Linked DNA regions of Macaca mulatta. The protein of the gene in region 1 purifies or fractionates together with the protein of each later gene. This does not show direct contact. Links are inferred from orthologs where the notes say so. Each region holds a gene or a part of one and is shown on either strand. Other genes may lie near its edges.

Region 1 (7,315 bases):
GAAATAGACTAAATACGTAAGGGTTGCATTGCAGTTGGGCCAGGTGAAGGCCAGATTATATCAAGGTCCACTGTAATAAAAAGTTCTGAAGTCACTGGAATAATGAAAAGGGGAGGCATAACTGTTATTACATACACAGCAAATATATGCTAGCATAGACATGCCCAACTCAAAAAACTTGCTCTGTGGTGATCAATACTGTATTCACATACTGAGGGCAATTTAATTTCAACAACATAATGTTATCTATCATATTAAATTGATACTGTTATTTATTCATTTTTAGTTTTGTATCAAATTTATAGTGTTAGTAAGAGCCATAACCATCAAACGTTTTTACATGGTTTTATTTTATACATATTTAAGAAACTGTATAACAAAAATAATTCACATCAGCTATGAGGGCACCAAAAAATTATTTTCCTTTGAAAGAGGTCCACATATTATTCTAGGAAAGTGATATTGGTTTAGTTGTCTCTGTTTATTAGGTACCTCTGAGGCCTTTAGCTTTTGGCCCAGAGACACTGGCCATAGAAATGATGACGATAGTAAATGAAGTTACTTGGCAATTAATTGTCTTATTCTCAAAACTATTATGTAAACTGCAATAGTTGCTATTGAACAGGTCAGGGTTTAGTGGGTGGATAACCCCTCGGGTACTTTTGTACAGTGCGTGATGACACATGCCAAGTATGAACCAGGGAAATATGATTTTCTGTGCTCTATTTTATTTTTATTGGTAAAATAAATTCCTTTGTCAGGGATAGGCAGAAGCCAATAGGAAATTTCAAGAGATGGGTAAATTATTAAAAGCTTCTTAAGTTATTTTTAGATCAAATAGCTTTCTTAAATTTTTTCTTAGAAATATTAAGATTTCTGTAGTGGTGATTGGGGCAAAATGGTGTATTATGAAGGATACGGTTTCTGGAGTCAGAAGCTTTACCACTTATTAATAACATGTAAACAAATTTTGGCAAGTCAGCCCTTCCGAACCTGTTTCCTCTCCTGGCAAATAGAAATAATAATAATGCAGACCCTACCCATTGCACAACACAGGATAGGATGAAAATGCTTTATAAGCTATATACGTTTTAAATTGCTTTTATAAAATTGAGTTGCCTTACCTGTTTTGAAATGGTCCCTTGTAATTTTATAAGAATCTAAGAATCTTAAACTCCTGGCAAGCTGTGAAGAATCTCTTTATTGGAACTACGAATTTCTAAAAGTTTGTATTAATATATTGCCCAGCATGTATGAAAACGAGGTTGTGGTAAAATAATTAGAGCATCACTGAGCAGTGTCTGGGCTATACTGTTAAACTTAATCCTAAAAGTGATCAAAATTTAACAGTTGCTAGAAGGAAACTTTCTTTTCACTAGATATCCTTTTGGACTGTGTATTATAGACATGTATTGCCTATTCAAACTATGTCTTTGGAGGAGCTCAAAGATATAACCATGGGTTGCTAAGACATGTCCTGATAGCAGCAGGATGAAACTGAGCTATGTAACTTGGATAGAATTTCCCTGGAAAGCTAGGCTAGTGGCTTGACTGGAATTGTAAAACTTCTGGGGAGACAGGTGAGGTCACCCCTTTGCAAGAACATTAATAACACCATCATATCTCCACTTTCAGTGGGAAAGGGGAACCTGTGACTGAACTCAGCTGGCACTCCTGTCGGCAGCTCCTTTACCAGGCAGTGGCCACAATCCTGGCCCACGCAGGCTTTGACTGTGCTAATGAAAGTGTCCTGGAGACCCTAACTGATGTGGCACATGAGTATTGCCTTAAGTTTACCAAGTTGTTGCGTTTTGCTGTGGACCGGGAGGCCCGGCTGGGACAGACTCCTTTTCCAGATGTGATGGAGCAGGTATTCCATGAAGTGGGTATCGGCAGTGTGCTCTCCCTCCAGAAGTTCTGGCAGCACCGCATCAAGGACTATCACAGTTACATGCTACAGGTGAGGCGACCCTGTTGAAAAGTGGGCACAGATGTCTGTGCAATCTAGGAGTGTTCAGCAGGATCCCACAGCACTTGGTCTAGAGTGCAGAGCACAGAGTCTTGGAACCGAGTGAACTTAACATACTTTTATGATGGCCCTAGCGATGTTCCTGGCCAAATGGGTCTCCTTTAGTCAATGAATGGCCACATTCACAGATACTTCCTCTGGAAGAAACTATCCACAAGTATATGGAATCTGAGAGAATGCAGGTAGTCTGACTTTATTCATCAAGTATTTATTGAGTGCCTGTTGAGAGTCAAGCATTGTGGGATTCAGCAGTTACTAAGTTACCTGAGCGTACATTGTTTTTGAAGGGAAACAAACACAAGTCAACAAAAAATGATCAAAACAATTTCAGGAGCTGGGCATGATGGCACATACCTGTAATCCCAGCTACTTGGGAAGCTGAGGTGGGAGGATTGCTTGAGGCCAGGAGTTCAAGACCAGCCTGGACAATATAGTGAGACCCCCATCTCTATAGAAAATTTAAAAATAAAAATTAGCTGGACATGGTGGCTCATGCCTGTGGTCTCAGCTACGCGGGAGTGTGAGGTGAGATCACTTGAGACCAGGAAGTTAAGGCTGCTGCGAGCCATGATTGTGCCATTGCACTCCAACCTGGGTGACAGAGCAAGACCCTGTCTGAAAAAAAAAAAAAAGAAAACATAGATCTCCTACTGGCAATCCTCCCGCCTCAGCCTCCCAAGCAGCTAATATAATGGTTTGACTAGAATTGTAATATATATCTCTAATATAGCTGCTTGGGAGGCTGAGGTGGGAGGATTGTTTGAGGCCAGAAGTTTAAGGCCAGCCTGGGCAATATAGCAAGACTTAGCTGTCTCTAAGCACATACTTACAAAAATACAATTTTGTATAATGTTAAGTGCCATGAAAAAAAGTAAAATGATATTGCCTGGAGGATGGGTTGGTGAGGGGTGATTTTGGTTGGAACCAGCTAACCTCTTCAGCCCTTGTGCTCTTAAGTCATTTGTTCACTATTTCAGTCTCTGCAGGTCTAAAATATTTAACACCCAAGAAAAGTCTTTGCTAAGTGATCCAGATTTCCCACACCATTGATTATTCACCTAGGATACATATGTCAATTTGTTTTTCCTCTTTTTAGACAGGGTTGCCTGGGCTGGAGTGCAGTGGCACAATCACAGCTCACTACAGCCTTAACCTGCTAGGCTCAAGTGATCGTTCCACCTCAGCCTCCCAAGTAGCTAAGACCACAGATGTGAACCACCATGCCCAGCTCTTTTTTTTTTTTTTGTAGAGATAGGATCTCACTAGATGTTGCCCAAGCTGGTCTCAGACTCCTAGGCTCAAGTGGTCCTCCCGCCTTGGCCTCCCAAAGTACCGGGATGACAGGTGTGAATGACTGTGCCCAGCCTCCTGTTAATTTTTATAGCCAAAAAAAAATGTAATCTTTTGTCCCAGTTCTGTTTTAACACTTTTTACCTTTATGTTACTTTTTTTTTTTTTTGAGACGGAGTTTCGCTCTTGTCACCCAGGCTGGAGTGCAGTGGCGCAATCTTGGCTCACCGCAACCTCCGCCTCCTGGGTTCAAGCGATTCTCCTGCCTCAGCCTCTCAAGTAGCTGGGATTACAGGCATGTGCCACCATACCCGGCTAGTTTTGTATTTTTAGTAGAGATGGGGTTTCTCCATATTGGTCAGGCTGGTCTTGAAATCCCGACCTCAGGTGATCCACCCGCCTCATCCTCCCAAAGTGCTGGGATTACAGGTGTGAGCATCACGCCCGGCTACCTTTATGTTACTTTTAATTAATGACATACACATTCTCTGCCAAACCAATTTTCTTTACATATCTCTATCACTCATAAATGCAAACTCAACACCTTAAACAAATCCCTACCATTGGCAGTGAATGTTTTAAAATTCTGTTATTCGTGTTCTGTTGGCTTCTCCATGGGATGTCACAAGCTGACTATACAACTTGCTTTTAACATTTCCTTGGAAAATTGACTCTTGCTTGCCAACAGATTAGTAAGCAACTCTCTGAAGAATATGAAAGGATTGTCAATCCTGAGAAGGCCACAGAGGACATGAAACCTGTGAAGATCAAGGAGGAACCTGTGAGCGACATCACCTTTCCTGTCAGTGAGGAGCTGGAGGCTGACCTTGCTTCTGGAGACCAGTCACTGCCTATGGGAGTGCTTGGGGCTCAGAGTGAACGCTTCCCATCTAACCTGGAGGTTGAAGCTTCACCACAGGCTTCAAGTAAGACAAATAAACTTGCTCATTTTGATTCTGGGAGATCTGCCAGTTTCAGTACTTTTCACTTTTTGGAATCAAGCTCAAGAAGTAGAAGAACAAAAGCAGCAGTGGACACAATGGAAAGTCCTAAAATGAATACAGTTTCACCTATCTAGAGATCTCAGCATTCTTCTCTTTCTAATTAGTGAAGAGAGGATTAGCAGCTTTACAGGCATTCTTTAAAATAATCCCTAGTTAAGATGTAGATGCAATATGTGTTGTCCTGTTGATTACCAAGGCTGATTCAGCTGATCCAGCTGGTTGGGAAGCTATCCCCTTCCTCCTTCAGTATTTTTTTTTTAGTATTCTGTATTGGTCCTTCCTGATGCTTGTACTTCATTGAATAAGACAGCTGCCAGATAGATGGGAGAGTGGTAATTGCTCAAGGATGTTCTCAGAGTTTTGCTTCCCTGCTAAAGTACTCTTAACAAATGGAAGATGAAAGACACTGAAATAGGGCGTCCGGCCAGGTGTGGTCGCTTATGCCTGTAATCCCAGCACTTTGGGAGGCCGAGGCAGGCGGATCATGAGGTCAGGAGATCAAGACCATCCTGGCTAACATGGTGAAACCCCGTCTCTACTAAAAATACAAAAAATTTGCCAGGCATGATGGTGGGCACCTGTAGTCCCAGCTACTCGGGAGGCTGAGGCAGGAGAATGGCGTGAACCCCGGAGGCTGAGCTTGCAATGAGCCGAGATCGTGCCACTGCACTCCAGCCTGGGCGACAGAGCAAGACTCTGTCTCAAAACAAAAAAAAAGGCTTCCCAGTTAGAGGTATCTGGCTTCTTTTTCCAGGCTCTGTGATTACCTTAGGAGCCAGGACAACTAACTGGTTATGTGTCAGTTAGGTTGCCAATTAGCCTGGGCACTCAGTTATTTACACATATAAATTGTCATTTCATCAATGCACAAATGACTCAAATAGCAAATCCTCAAATGCGGTCTAAATGGAATTAGGTCGTACTTTTAAAAGTGTTGGGCAGACAGCCTTTCACTATGGAAGAATAACCGTAAGAGAGCAGCATTGCTAGAACACATAGAGAGATGGGAGAGCCAAAGAGAAATTGTTACGGACTTCGGGACCATGTCTCTTCAAAGGACACCAGGTAGAGAACTGTTGTTAGCATTATGTAGTGACCATTACCTTTTCATAATGTGAGAGATGACCAGAGACCCAAACAAAAGGCAGGAAAACAAGATGGCCCCATAAAAGAAGGAAGGACAGGCAAACTAAAGAGCTGAACAAGGCCTGTGGTTGTGCATGTCTTTGGGCTGTGAGACGGGGGATCTTTCCACCTGCCTAGCTTCACTTCCCTGGTTTAGGGAAAATGGGAGTGGGTGAGGTAGAGGAAAGAAAGGTAGAAGAAATGGAAAAGAAGATAATCAGAGCTGGTAATTTTTTGTGATGGTTAACTTTTTGAAGCAGAGAATAACAACCATATTCTCCTGACAAGTACAGAATCAGAGTGAAAACTGAGCTCAAAGAATATTAGTTGGTCCTGAGTGATATATTTACTCTACTTTGTTCTACACTTGGCTTACCACAAGGTGTATGTCCACCTTTCCTCTCTTTCTAGGTGCAGAGGTAAATGCTTCTCCTCTTTGGAATCTGGCCCATGTGAAAATGGAGCCTCAAGAGAGTGAAGAAGGCAATGTCTCTGGGCATGGTGTGCTGGGCAGCGATGTCTTCGAGGAGCCCATGTCAGGCATGAGTGAAGCTGGGATTCCTCAGAGCCCTGATGACTCAGATAGCAGCTATGGTTCCCACTCCACTGACAGCCTCATGGGGTCCTCCCCTGTTTTCAACCAGCGCTGCAAGAAGAGGATGAGGAAAATATAAAAGGAAAAGAGGGAGATTTTTTGTCCAGACCTACTAGACCCAACAGAAAACGTTTTTGTATTAGAATCTGTTTCCATAAAAATTGATTTGACTCCTGTTCTTAAACACAAGTGGTTTTTCCTTATTCCAGAGGACCTGGACATCACCAAACAAGGTTGCATTTTACTTTTGCATCCAGTTTTTATAGTTTTCCACAACCAAGCCACCTTTCACAGATGAAATATGATGCTGGCATGGCAATCAAAGCAAAGCACCGTCCTCGACTGTTGTCTTAACTATGACTAGACATGTTACTTAGCTTCTCTACAGCCATTTCTCTTGTACAACTGAGAATCATACTTCTTTGACCTACCTTACAGGGATGTGAGGATTTAGGTGTTTGCTAACTTCAAAACTGTGCTTGAATAGACTCATAATATATGCTCATATCAGATGTCAGTTTTCATTTAACTTGATTCATTTTTGGCTCAGGTCGTTGGGAATCCATTACTAATACCTAACAGGAAATAGCGAAACACAACATACCTTATCTGTTAGTCACCTTCTTAAAACTGTTTTTGCTGCTTTTGAAGTGTCTTATTTATAAGATCAGAGGTCTACAGTGACAGCCTTTTGCTTATTCAGACAGCTCTCTCCTATCATCCACATATTCTTCTCTAGATTTATTCCATCTATCCTCATCCTTTTGGCCTTTGTTATTTCTGCTCAGACTCACATATTTTCACCATATACATATTTTCAGTTGTTTCTTTCCTTTTCTCCTTTGTGAGCAAAGCAAACAAGTACTGTCCAAGGACAACCTTGTGCATATTTCATTTGTTGCATTTGCTTGGTCATCAGAGGACAGCAGTCCATTAAGCACACTTTGCTTCTGCTACTGTAAAGGCAGCCTTTAAAGCATAGTAATATGCACCTTTCAACTTTATATCATTGTCCTGAACAATGTAACTGTGGTTACTCATCCATCAGACTATCTGTACATTTAAGTACCGAATCAGTATTTATTAAGTAAATGTTGTAGCACTGTAGTGATTAGGAATAATTAGCAAATGTGTTGCTTCATGCCTTGGTAATGGATGCCAACATGTAAAACTGCTGAAGTTTGGTTTTCTGATGCAGAATACATCTTGTAAAATTTAGACCACTCCTTTAATATAGACCAAAATAAGGCACAGCTTTAATTCATTATTGAA
Region 2 (8,050 bases), on another chromosome or scaffold:
TCCTTCTGGCTACCTCTGTTCTCTCTCTGCTGTTTTCGTCACACTCTTTTGCAATTATTATCCTACCTGTCTATCCCACAAGACAGTGAACTTCTTGAAGAAGCACAACTGTCTTATATCATCTTTTGTCCCAGCACCTGGAGCACCGTAAGAATAACAGCTAAGATTTACCAAGCACTTACACAGAGCTAAGAGTTTCACATGCACTGACTTGTTAATCACTACAGCAACGCAATGAGATAGGACTATCATTATGCCCACTGACAACAGAGGAAACTGAGGCAGAGGAAACTCATTTGCTAGATCCAACGATTTAAATTCAAATCAGACGCCTGATCTTAACTACTCTGGAATATCGCCTCAATAAATGTTTGCTGTTTCTCAGGAGAAATCGGTGAGAATAAAATATTTGCGGAAAACTAAAAACCAAAGATGGCTCCAAGTATGTGATTTCAGACTATCCTCCTTTTTAATCTTATCTCTTGAGGGGAGAGGGCTGTCACACAACCGTTCCAGGACACCAGACACAGAGTAACCGAGATGAAAGCGCCAATCCAGCCATCCACCGCGGCTGGGAAAAGGCCCGCTCCTTCCTAAAGAGGGACTGAGAGCGTGAGCATAGGGACACTCTGCACCCAGGAGAAAAGCACTGGGTCGGGGGAAGGATCTGGCCAGTGCCAGGCAGGCTGTCTTGAGGGGTGGGGGGTCCAGCGTGGGTTCCGGAAGCAGGAAAGGCAAGCAGGTGTGGGATCTAAATTAGGATGAGGGGTGGGGAGGGCGCTCCGCGCAGAAGGGCGCAGCTTGGCCTCCGACCTCAGCAGCGGACCCTCATCTCGGCCGCTTGTTGGTCCGCAGGCCTGGCGTGGGCTGAGACCCGCCCAGAAACCAGGAGAACTGAGGCGCGGGCGAGCCCCTTCGATTCTACGGGCTTTCCGCTCCGAGGTCCTAACTGCGCCCCACTTCAAGTCTGGCCTCTTCACAGAAGTGGCTGCACGCCTCGGGGTAAAGGGGGGAGCGGAGGGGGGGGAGAGAGCGGGGAGCCCCGAGGGAAGGGCGGGGAAGCCTGGGCCGGAAGGCGTCCCAGGATCGGCTAGGAGCCGGCGCTCTCTTTCGACGCCACCCGCTGCCCCCGCCCCCGAGCCGGCCGGGACGGCACAATGTCTCCGCCCCCAGCGCACCGCGCACCTCACCTTGAACGCCGCCCCACCCACCCCCATCTTATTGGGCCTCCCGGGCCGAGGCCTCTCGGCGATTGGTCGGGGAGGTCCGCGAAGGCCCCGCCCATCTCCCCGCCCCCGTCCCCGTCCGCCGGTACTTTGGACGGCGGCGTGGCGCCCCTCCTCCCCTCCCGGTCCCCGCCCCCTGGAGCAAATGCTGCCGAGCTGCGGCCGCGGGGCAGATGCACGCGCTCGGGCCCTTCTAGCAGGCGCGAGCAGTCGCTGGGCGCGCGAAAGCGAAAGAAGGAAGAGGAAGGGAGGGGGAGGGCGGGGTGTTGGGGAGGGGCGGGAGGAGGAAGAGGAGGAGGTTGGAGCGCGCTCGCGCTTGGCCTCGCGCCCGCGCGGAGGGAGGGGGAGAGGGGCGCGCGCGCGCACGTTCGCGTTCTCGCTCGCTCCATCCATCCATCCTCCGGTCGCGGCACACGCGCGCGCGCTCCGGGCTCGCGCCGCACCCCCCGCCCGGGAGAGGCGGGCTGGAGTGGGGGGCGGGGGGAGGGGCGCGCGGACGGCGCGCGGACTGCGCGCGGGCGGGGTGAGGTGAGGAGGAGGAGGCGGCGACGGGACAAGAAGGGAGGGGAAGGGGCCATGGCCGCCCGGTGAGGCGGCGAGGCGGGGGGGCGGCCCGACCCCCCGGCCCCGGGCCCTGGGCCCCGGGGAGAGGCGAGGACGGACCGACGGACATGGGGCTCCGGAGCAGCCGCCGCCGCCGCCGCCGCCGGAGGACGCGGCCCTGAGAGGCCGCCGGGCCCCGGCGCGGCCCCCCGGGCGGGGTGAGTACGGGACGGAGACGGGGACGGGGGAGGGGCCTGCGGGGGGCGGGGGGCGGGGCCCGAGGCGGGGCTTGGGCCCCCTCCCCCCAGGTCTGGGTCAGCGCCCCTTCCCCTCCCCCCGGGCCGACGCGGAAACGCCCGGCTTCCCCCAGCTTCCCGGCCGGGCCGGGGCCCCCAGCTCTCCCCCGTCTGGGTCCCCCTTGGGCGGGGCAGGGCCGGCCGGGGAGGGGGCGCGGGGCCTTTGTTAGGGAGCCAGGCCCCAGCCCCCGGGACAATAGAGACACCCTCCCGGACTCCTCTCCCCGGCCGGCCGGGGCTGCTGGCGGGCGGGGAAGGAGAGGGGCCGGGACGCGTCCCACTCTGTCCACTCTCTGGGGGTCGGTCTGTCCCGGCCCGGTGCCGGCCCCGGCGGCTCGGCTCTCCTCCCCCCAGTCGGTATGATGCAGCAGCAGTGCCGCAGGGACGGGGGAAGAGCCGAGGCCCGGCCTCCTACCCTTCCCAGTGCCCCCGGCTCATTCGTCAGTCCCCACCCCACTCTAGGCCGGCGGCTCCTGAAACTCGTACCCACCGTTCCGAGGGGCCCTGGGCTGTGGGTGCTGTGTCTGAATCCTTGGGTGGGGGTTCCTGGACTTTGGGGCTCTTGGAGAGACTTCCGGGCTGGTCCTGAGGGAGGGTGGGTGGTTATTTAAAGGAAGAACAGGTAAGGGGAGTGCCCGCTCCTGGCGTGCCACCCCACCGGGCACCCCCCCCCCGCCCCGCCGCTCCTGCTCATGGTGGCTGGAAATGTCCCTTAGCTCTAGGCTCCTGTGAGCTCTGCTTCCCTCGTGGAGTGGCAGGCTGATTTCAAGGGAAGGCAGAGTGGGGTGAAGGTTGTAGGGTCCTAGGGCCATTTCTACTTCTGGTAGCAGTACCCCCCCAAGTGGACATCCTGGCTGAAAGCAGAGGTGACTCTGAGGAGAGTCTTTAGGGAAGGCGGGGGGGTGTATTTAGGAGTCTGTGCAGTTCTTTGCCACACCCTGTGGGTTTGCTTTGAGGCCTTGGAGTTCCTTCTCCTCCCCCTGCTGCATTGCACCATGGGTATCAAAGAGGGGTTTGAGTTTTGGGGACCTAGGGTGAGCTGCTGCCTCCTATAGACCCAGACTCTGATTGGCAGTGGAGTCCAGGGCCTGAGCTCAGGCCTGGGAAAGACTAGGCCCCCTTTAGGTTTCAGGCCCTGAAGGACCATCCAGACTTAGTGAGCCTGGGCCTTGGGGAGGGAGAGACCCTGATGCCAGGACTGAGCTCTGGGCAGCGAGGTGGGAGGGAAGGTGGCCGCCTTCAGAGGTGCCTTGGACTCACAACAACACCCCCACCCCCGTGTGTGCAGCCGTGTTGCCGCCCGCTGTGCTATGAGCAGTCAGAGCGCCGTCTCCACAAGAGTTTACAAATGAAAATGGAGGAAATGTCTTTGTCTGGCCTGGATAACAGCAAACTAGAGGTGAGGGCTCCCCCACGTGTGCCTCCAGTTCTTTCTCTTGATGTCTCTACGTCGCTATATCTGGCATCCACACCAAAGAGGAATTTGGGTAGTCAGCCTTGTTCCTTAAAGGGAATAGCCAGCTGAAAAGGCCAAGGATCCAGGAAGAAGAAAGAACACGAAGTCAAGATGGGGAAAATGGCAAAGAAAGCGTGATTTTTGGCTGGGGCCAGATGGCAGCAGATTTGGTTGGTGAGAGTCCAGGGGGCTGTGACTCTTGTGACCGTAGATGTTCTCCCCTGGGGCCCAGGCCATCGCTCAGGAGATATATGCGGACCTGGTCGAGGATTCTTGTTTGGGATTCTGCTTTGAGGTACACCGGGCTGTCAAGTGTGGCTACTTCTTCCTGGACGACACGGACCCTGATAGCATGAAGGATTTTGGTGAGCTTCAGGGTGAAGGAGCAGCAGTCCAGCCCTTTCCTGGGACTGTTTGGAGTTTCCTTCTCTGGAAACTGTGCTAGATGTAGCATCTGGAGCTCCTGTGAGCCGGGGGAGGGATTGAAGAGGCCGTGGGACCCCAGGTGGGAACAAGAGGAGAGGGTCCCCTGCCCACCCTGATCGCCAGCCTCTCCTGTCCCCAGAGATCGTGGACCAGCCGGGGTTGGACATCTTTGGACAGGTTTTCAACCAGTGGAAGAGCAAGGAGTGTGTTTGCCCCAATTGCAGTCGCAGCATTGCCGCCTCCCGCTTTGCTCCCCATCTGGAGAAGTGCCTGGGAATGGGTCGGAACAGCAGCCGAATCGCCAACCGCCGGTGAGAGAACCAGAGATGCCCATTCTCTGCAGCCTGTGCCATGGTGTAGTACCCCGGGGGCATTAGGAGGGTACCGAGAGTGGGTTTTACTTGGCCCCAGATACCCCACGTGCCTCTGAAGTTGGGGGCAGAGTGGGGTGACCCCCTTGACCCTTTCTCTTCCCTCCCTTTGGCAGGATTGCCAATAGCAACAATATGAATAAGTCTGAGAGTGACCAAGAGGATAATGATGACATCAATGACAACGATTGGTCTTATGGCTCGGAAAAGAAAGGTGCTTGGGGATCTGGGGAAACTTGGGGAGCATTGGGATGAGGTGGGAAGCAGAAATTGGGTATAAAGTGGTCACAGGTTGTTGTCTTTTTTTTTTTTTTTTTTTTTGAGACGGAGTCTTGCTCTGTCGCCCAGGCTGGAGTGCAGTGGCGCAATCTCGGCTCACTGCAGGCTCCGCCTCCCGGGTTCACGCCATTCTCCTGCCTCAGCCTCCCGAGTAGCTGGGACTACAGGCGCCCGCCACTGCGCCTGGCTAAGGTTGTTGTCTTGAATGATGAAGAGAGAGTATAGTTGTGCGGTTTCCTTTTTCTTTTTTTTTTTTGAGACGGAATCTTGCTCTGTTGCCCAGGATGGGGTGCATTGGCGCAATCTTGGCTCACTGCAACCTCCGTCTCCTGGGTTCAAGTGATTCCCCTGTCTCAGCCTCCTGAGTAGCCAGGATTACAGGTGTGCGCTACCACGGCGAGCTAATTTTTTTGTTTTTAGTAGAGATGGGGTTACACCATATTGGCCAGGATGGTCTTAATCTCCTGACTTCATGATCCGCCCGCCCGGGCCTCCCAAAGTGCTGGGATTATAGGCGTGAGCCACTGCGCCCAGCCTATTGTACAGTTTTCTTGAGATGCTTTTAGATTGAGAACTTAACGGAAACCCTGCTCTTTATGCTTTTGTTCCCCCTTAGCCAAGAAGAGGAAATCAGACAAGGTGAGAGCCGGGGCAAGCATTGGGGAATTAATGGGCAAAGGACAGATACCCTCCCCTTTGGGCAGGGAGTCCTCAAGTGTCTTGACTCAAGGCTGAGGTCACTGGGGGCTTGAGGGTGTCTGTGGTGGGCGGGTGGGGTGTGGGAATGGAGGGCAGGGGAGGGCACATGGGTAGACAGGCCTCCTACTGGGGAGGAAGAGTAGGAATTTGAGGATGCTGCTTTGTCAAATCTTTTTTCCTTCCCTGGGTTCTCGGCTCCCCCTTATCGTTACCCTTTCCCCAAAGCTATGGTATCTCCCATTCCAGAACCCCAATTCCCCTCGAAGATCCAAGTCTTTAAAACACAAAAATGGTAAGTGGGGCCGGAGCAATGGGATTGCTTCTAGCTACGTCTTCTGGGACTCATTGCCGGGGGGTGGAGGTGGGGCCCGGGGATAGGGGAATTGAGGGAGGGCCTGTGATCCTTCTGTCACCCCCACTTCCTCTCTGGTTATTTTCAGGGTTCTCTGTCTGTACCTCTGCATCAAACACCCTTCCCCTTCTTTTTTCTTCTTCAGGGGAACTTAGCAATTCGGATCCTTTTAAGGTGAGTATGGGCCGTCCCTCGCACTTGCTCTCATTGTCCTGGTTGTGAGGTGGTAGGGATTTGGACAAGTAGGGATCAGAATGCTGACAGCCAGAGGCACTGATGAGCTATTTGGATCTTATATATTTATGTTCTTTCTGAGTCCCGCCCCTTATCCATAGGCAGGTGGGATGAGAGAAATCACTTGGAAAACGGCAGGGTTGTCCTAAAGCCTCTCGCTTAGAAAGGCACCAGAGGGACTGATTCTCGCTTCCCCCCGGCCCCTGTCTCTTCTCTGCCCCATCTCTAACCTGTACCTCTGGTTCTCCTGCAGTATAACAATTCAACTGGGATCAGCTATGAGACCCTGGGGCCAGAGGAGCTTCGCAGCCTGCTCACCACGGTGAGGGGGACCGGCAAGGGAGAAGGCCCTTGGGAGTGGGCTGGAGCCATAGGCAGTGGTCAAGGCCGGGGAGGAAGCTGGTGACATAGCAGTCAGGGCCATATTGTTCTCTCTTTCTGGAATTAGGTTTCCTGGCCCATAGTGTCCTGGGACTGTCTGCTCTGGACACCTTGGGGCCATCTCTGCTTGTGCTTTCTAGCATTTATGCAGAAGGGAACATCTAGCATCTAGAGTAGGTTCCCTCCATCCCTCCTTTCAGCTTATATTCCTCTTCCAGCAATGTGGGGTGATTTCTGAACACACCAAGAAGATGTGCACAAGGTGAGCACAGAACCTAGAAAGGGGGCCAGGGGCCTCCTGCACACTCACCATGGGCATGGGTCGGACTTGAGCAATGGGGCTTCTGCCCTTCCCCTTCCCTCCTCTAATGATCAGGCCTTCGGCCACAGTCTGGGGACGAATCTGCACTCTTCCCTTCCCTGTCTGTGCCTGTGGCTCCTGCCTTGCCGAGAGGAGGGGCTTTACCTGAGTTCCTCAGACCCCTCCCTGCCTTGCCTCACCACCAGGTCCCTACGCTGCCCACAGCACACAGATGAGCAGAGGCGAACCGTGCGGATTTATTTTCTCGGGCCCTCGGCGTAAGTGGCCCTACAGGAGGGATGGGGGGTTATGACCAGTTAGGGCGATGATCGCTATCTGTAAAGCCCTTCTTTGGCTCATCCCCTTTCTAGCGTCCTTCCAGAGGTCGAGAGCTCCCTGGATAATGACAGCTTTGACATGACTGACAGCCAGGCCCTGATCAGCCGGCTTCAGTGGGATGGCTCCTCTGACCTCTCACCCTCTGATTCAGGCTCCTCCAAGACGAGTGAAAATCAGGGATGGGGTCTAGGTACGTGATACAGTTGGGCCCCAGGGGCTGTGCCCGAAGCCATGGGAGTGCCACCTCTCCTGCCACAACCCTACTCTCATCCTTTGTGTCTCTTTCTCTACAGGTACCAACAGCTCTGAGTCACGGAAAACCAAGAAAAAGAAATCCCATCTGAGCCTGGTAGGGACTGCCTCCGGCCTAGGTTCCAACAAGAAGAAGAAGCCAAAGCCACCGGCACCCCCGACGCCCAGCATCTATGATGACATCAACTGACTTGGGTGCAAGGGATAGCCTTTGGCTGAGCAGAGCCCTCTCTCCTGACCCCCACCCAGGTGGCATAGCCTGGCAAATGGACGGCTGCTGGGGGTTGGGGCTTGGGAAGCTTGGTGGGCCAGGCAGGCAGAGGATCCGATTATGCGCCCCTGGGGGGTGTCAAAGTCCTCTGCAATGGAGCACGACTCCTCAGCGTGCAGGACTCAGACCTGGACATATTATGCCTTGGACATAAGTTTGGTGGGGAGGCAGTTTTCCTATTTATTCTGTGAGTTACTGGATGTCCAGCTAGGCCAGGGGCCTGACCTGGGCGCTGTGCCAGGGCACTGCCTGCCCCCCACCCCAGGAACTGGACTAAGCCCTGCTGAGGGGCAATGTGGTGACCCGGGAGGCTGTGGGTTGGAAGCTGAGCCTGGAGGGGGCCTGCCTTGGCCGCCCTCAGCAATGTGAATGGGTCCGGTGCTTGGAGCTGAGGGGCAAGGCTGGGCATGTCCTGTCTGTGTGCAGAATCCTATCAAATGCCCCCAGTCCCAGGGGTAGGCAGGCACAGAGTGCTGTCTGCTGAGGTGGGCGTCCAGAACTGCCGCCACCTTCCCTGCCCCTCACAGGGGCAGCCCTTTCCCCTCAGTCCCCATGGGCCTCCTTGGCAGCAGGAGCTGTCCTTTTGTTGTTGGGTGCCAGGAAAGGGCCTCCAGCCTCTACAGC

What was found.
Region 2: the proteins of SUPT7L (region 1) and ATXN7L3 purify together in Homo sapiens (affinity purification with mass spectrometry; 6 studies listed by BioGRID and IntAct, counting the BioPlex papers as one, with this or other methods). This does not show direct contact. The link is inferred for Macaca mulatta from reciprocal best matches to the Homo sapiens genes SUPT7L and ATXN7L3.

Annotation. Positions count from the first base shown.
Region 1 is NC_133418.1:97,338,043-97,345,357, forward strand, and holds the end of SUPT7L (STAGA complex 65 subunit gamma), read left to right. Parts: intron 1-1,635; coding exon 1,636-1,960; intron 1,961-4,007; coding exon 4,008-4,245; intron 4,246-5,859; coding exon 5,860-6,122; 3' UTR 6,123-7,114; downstream 7,115-7,315.
Region 2 is NC_133421.1:68,566,446-68,574,495, reverse strand, and holds the start of ATXN7L3 (ataxin-7-like protein 3), read left to right. Parts: upstream 1-2,745; 5' UTR 2,746-3,060; coding exon of another isoform or gene 3,061-3,099; 5' UTR 3,100-3,254; coding exon 3,255-3,464; intron 3,465-3,732; coding exon 3,733-3,886; intron 3,887-4,086; coding exon 4,087-4,258; intron 4,259-4,434; coding exon 4,435-4,532; intron 4,533-5,213; coding exon 5,214-5,236; intron 5,237-5,521; coding exon 5,522-5,588; coding exon of another isoform or gene 5,589-5,626; intron 5,627-5,736; coding exon 5,737-5,822; intron 5,823-6,135; coding exon 6,136-6,204; intron 6,205-6,481; coding exon 6,482-6,525; intron 6,526-6,770; coding exon 6,771-6,842; intron 6,843-6,935; coding exon 6,936-7,093; intron 7,094-7,196; coding exon 7,197-7,345; 3' UTR 7,346-8,050. UniProt on the Homo sapiens protein: Component of the transcription regulatory histone acetylation (HAT) complex SAGA, a multiprotein complex that activates transcription by remodeling chromatin and mediating histone acetylation and deubiquitination.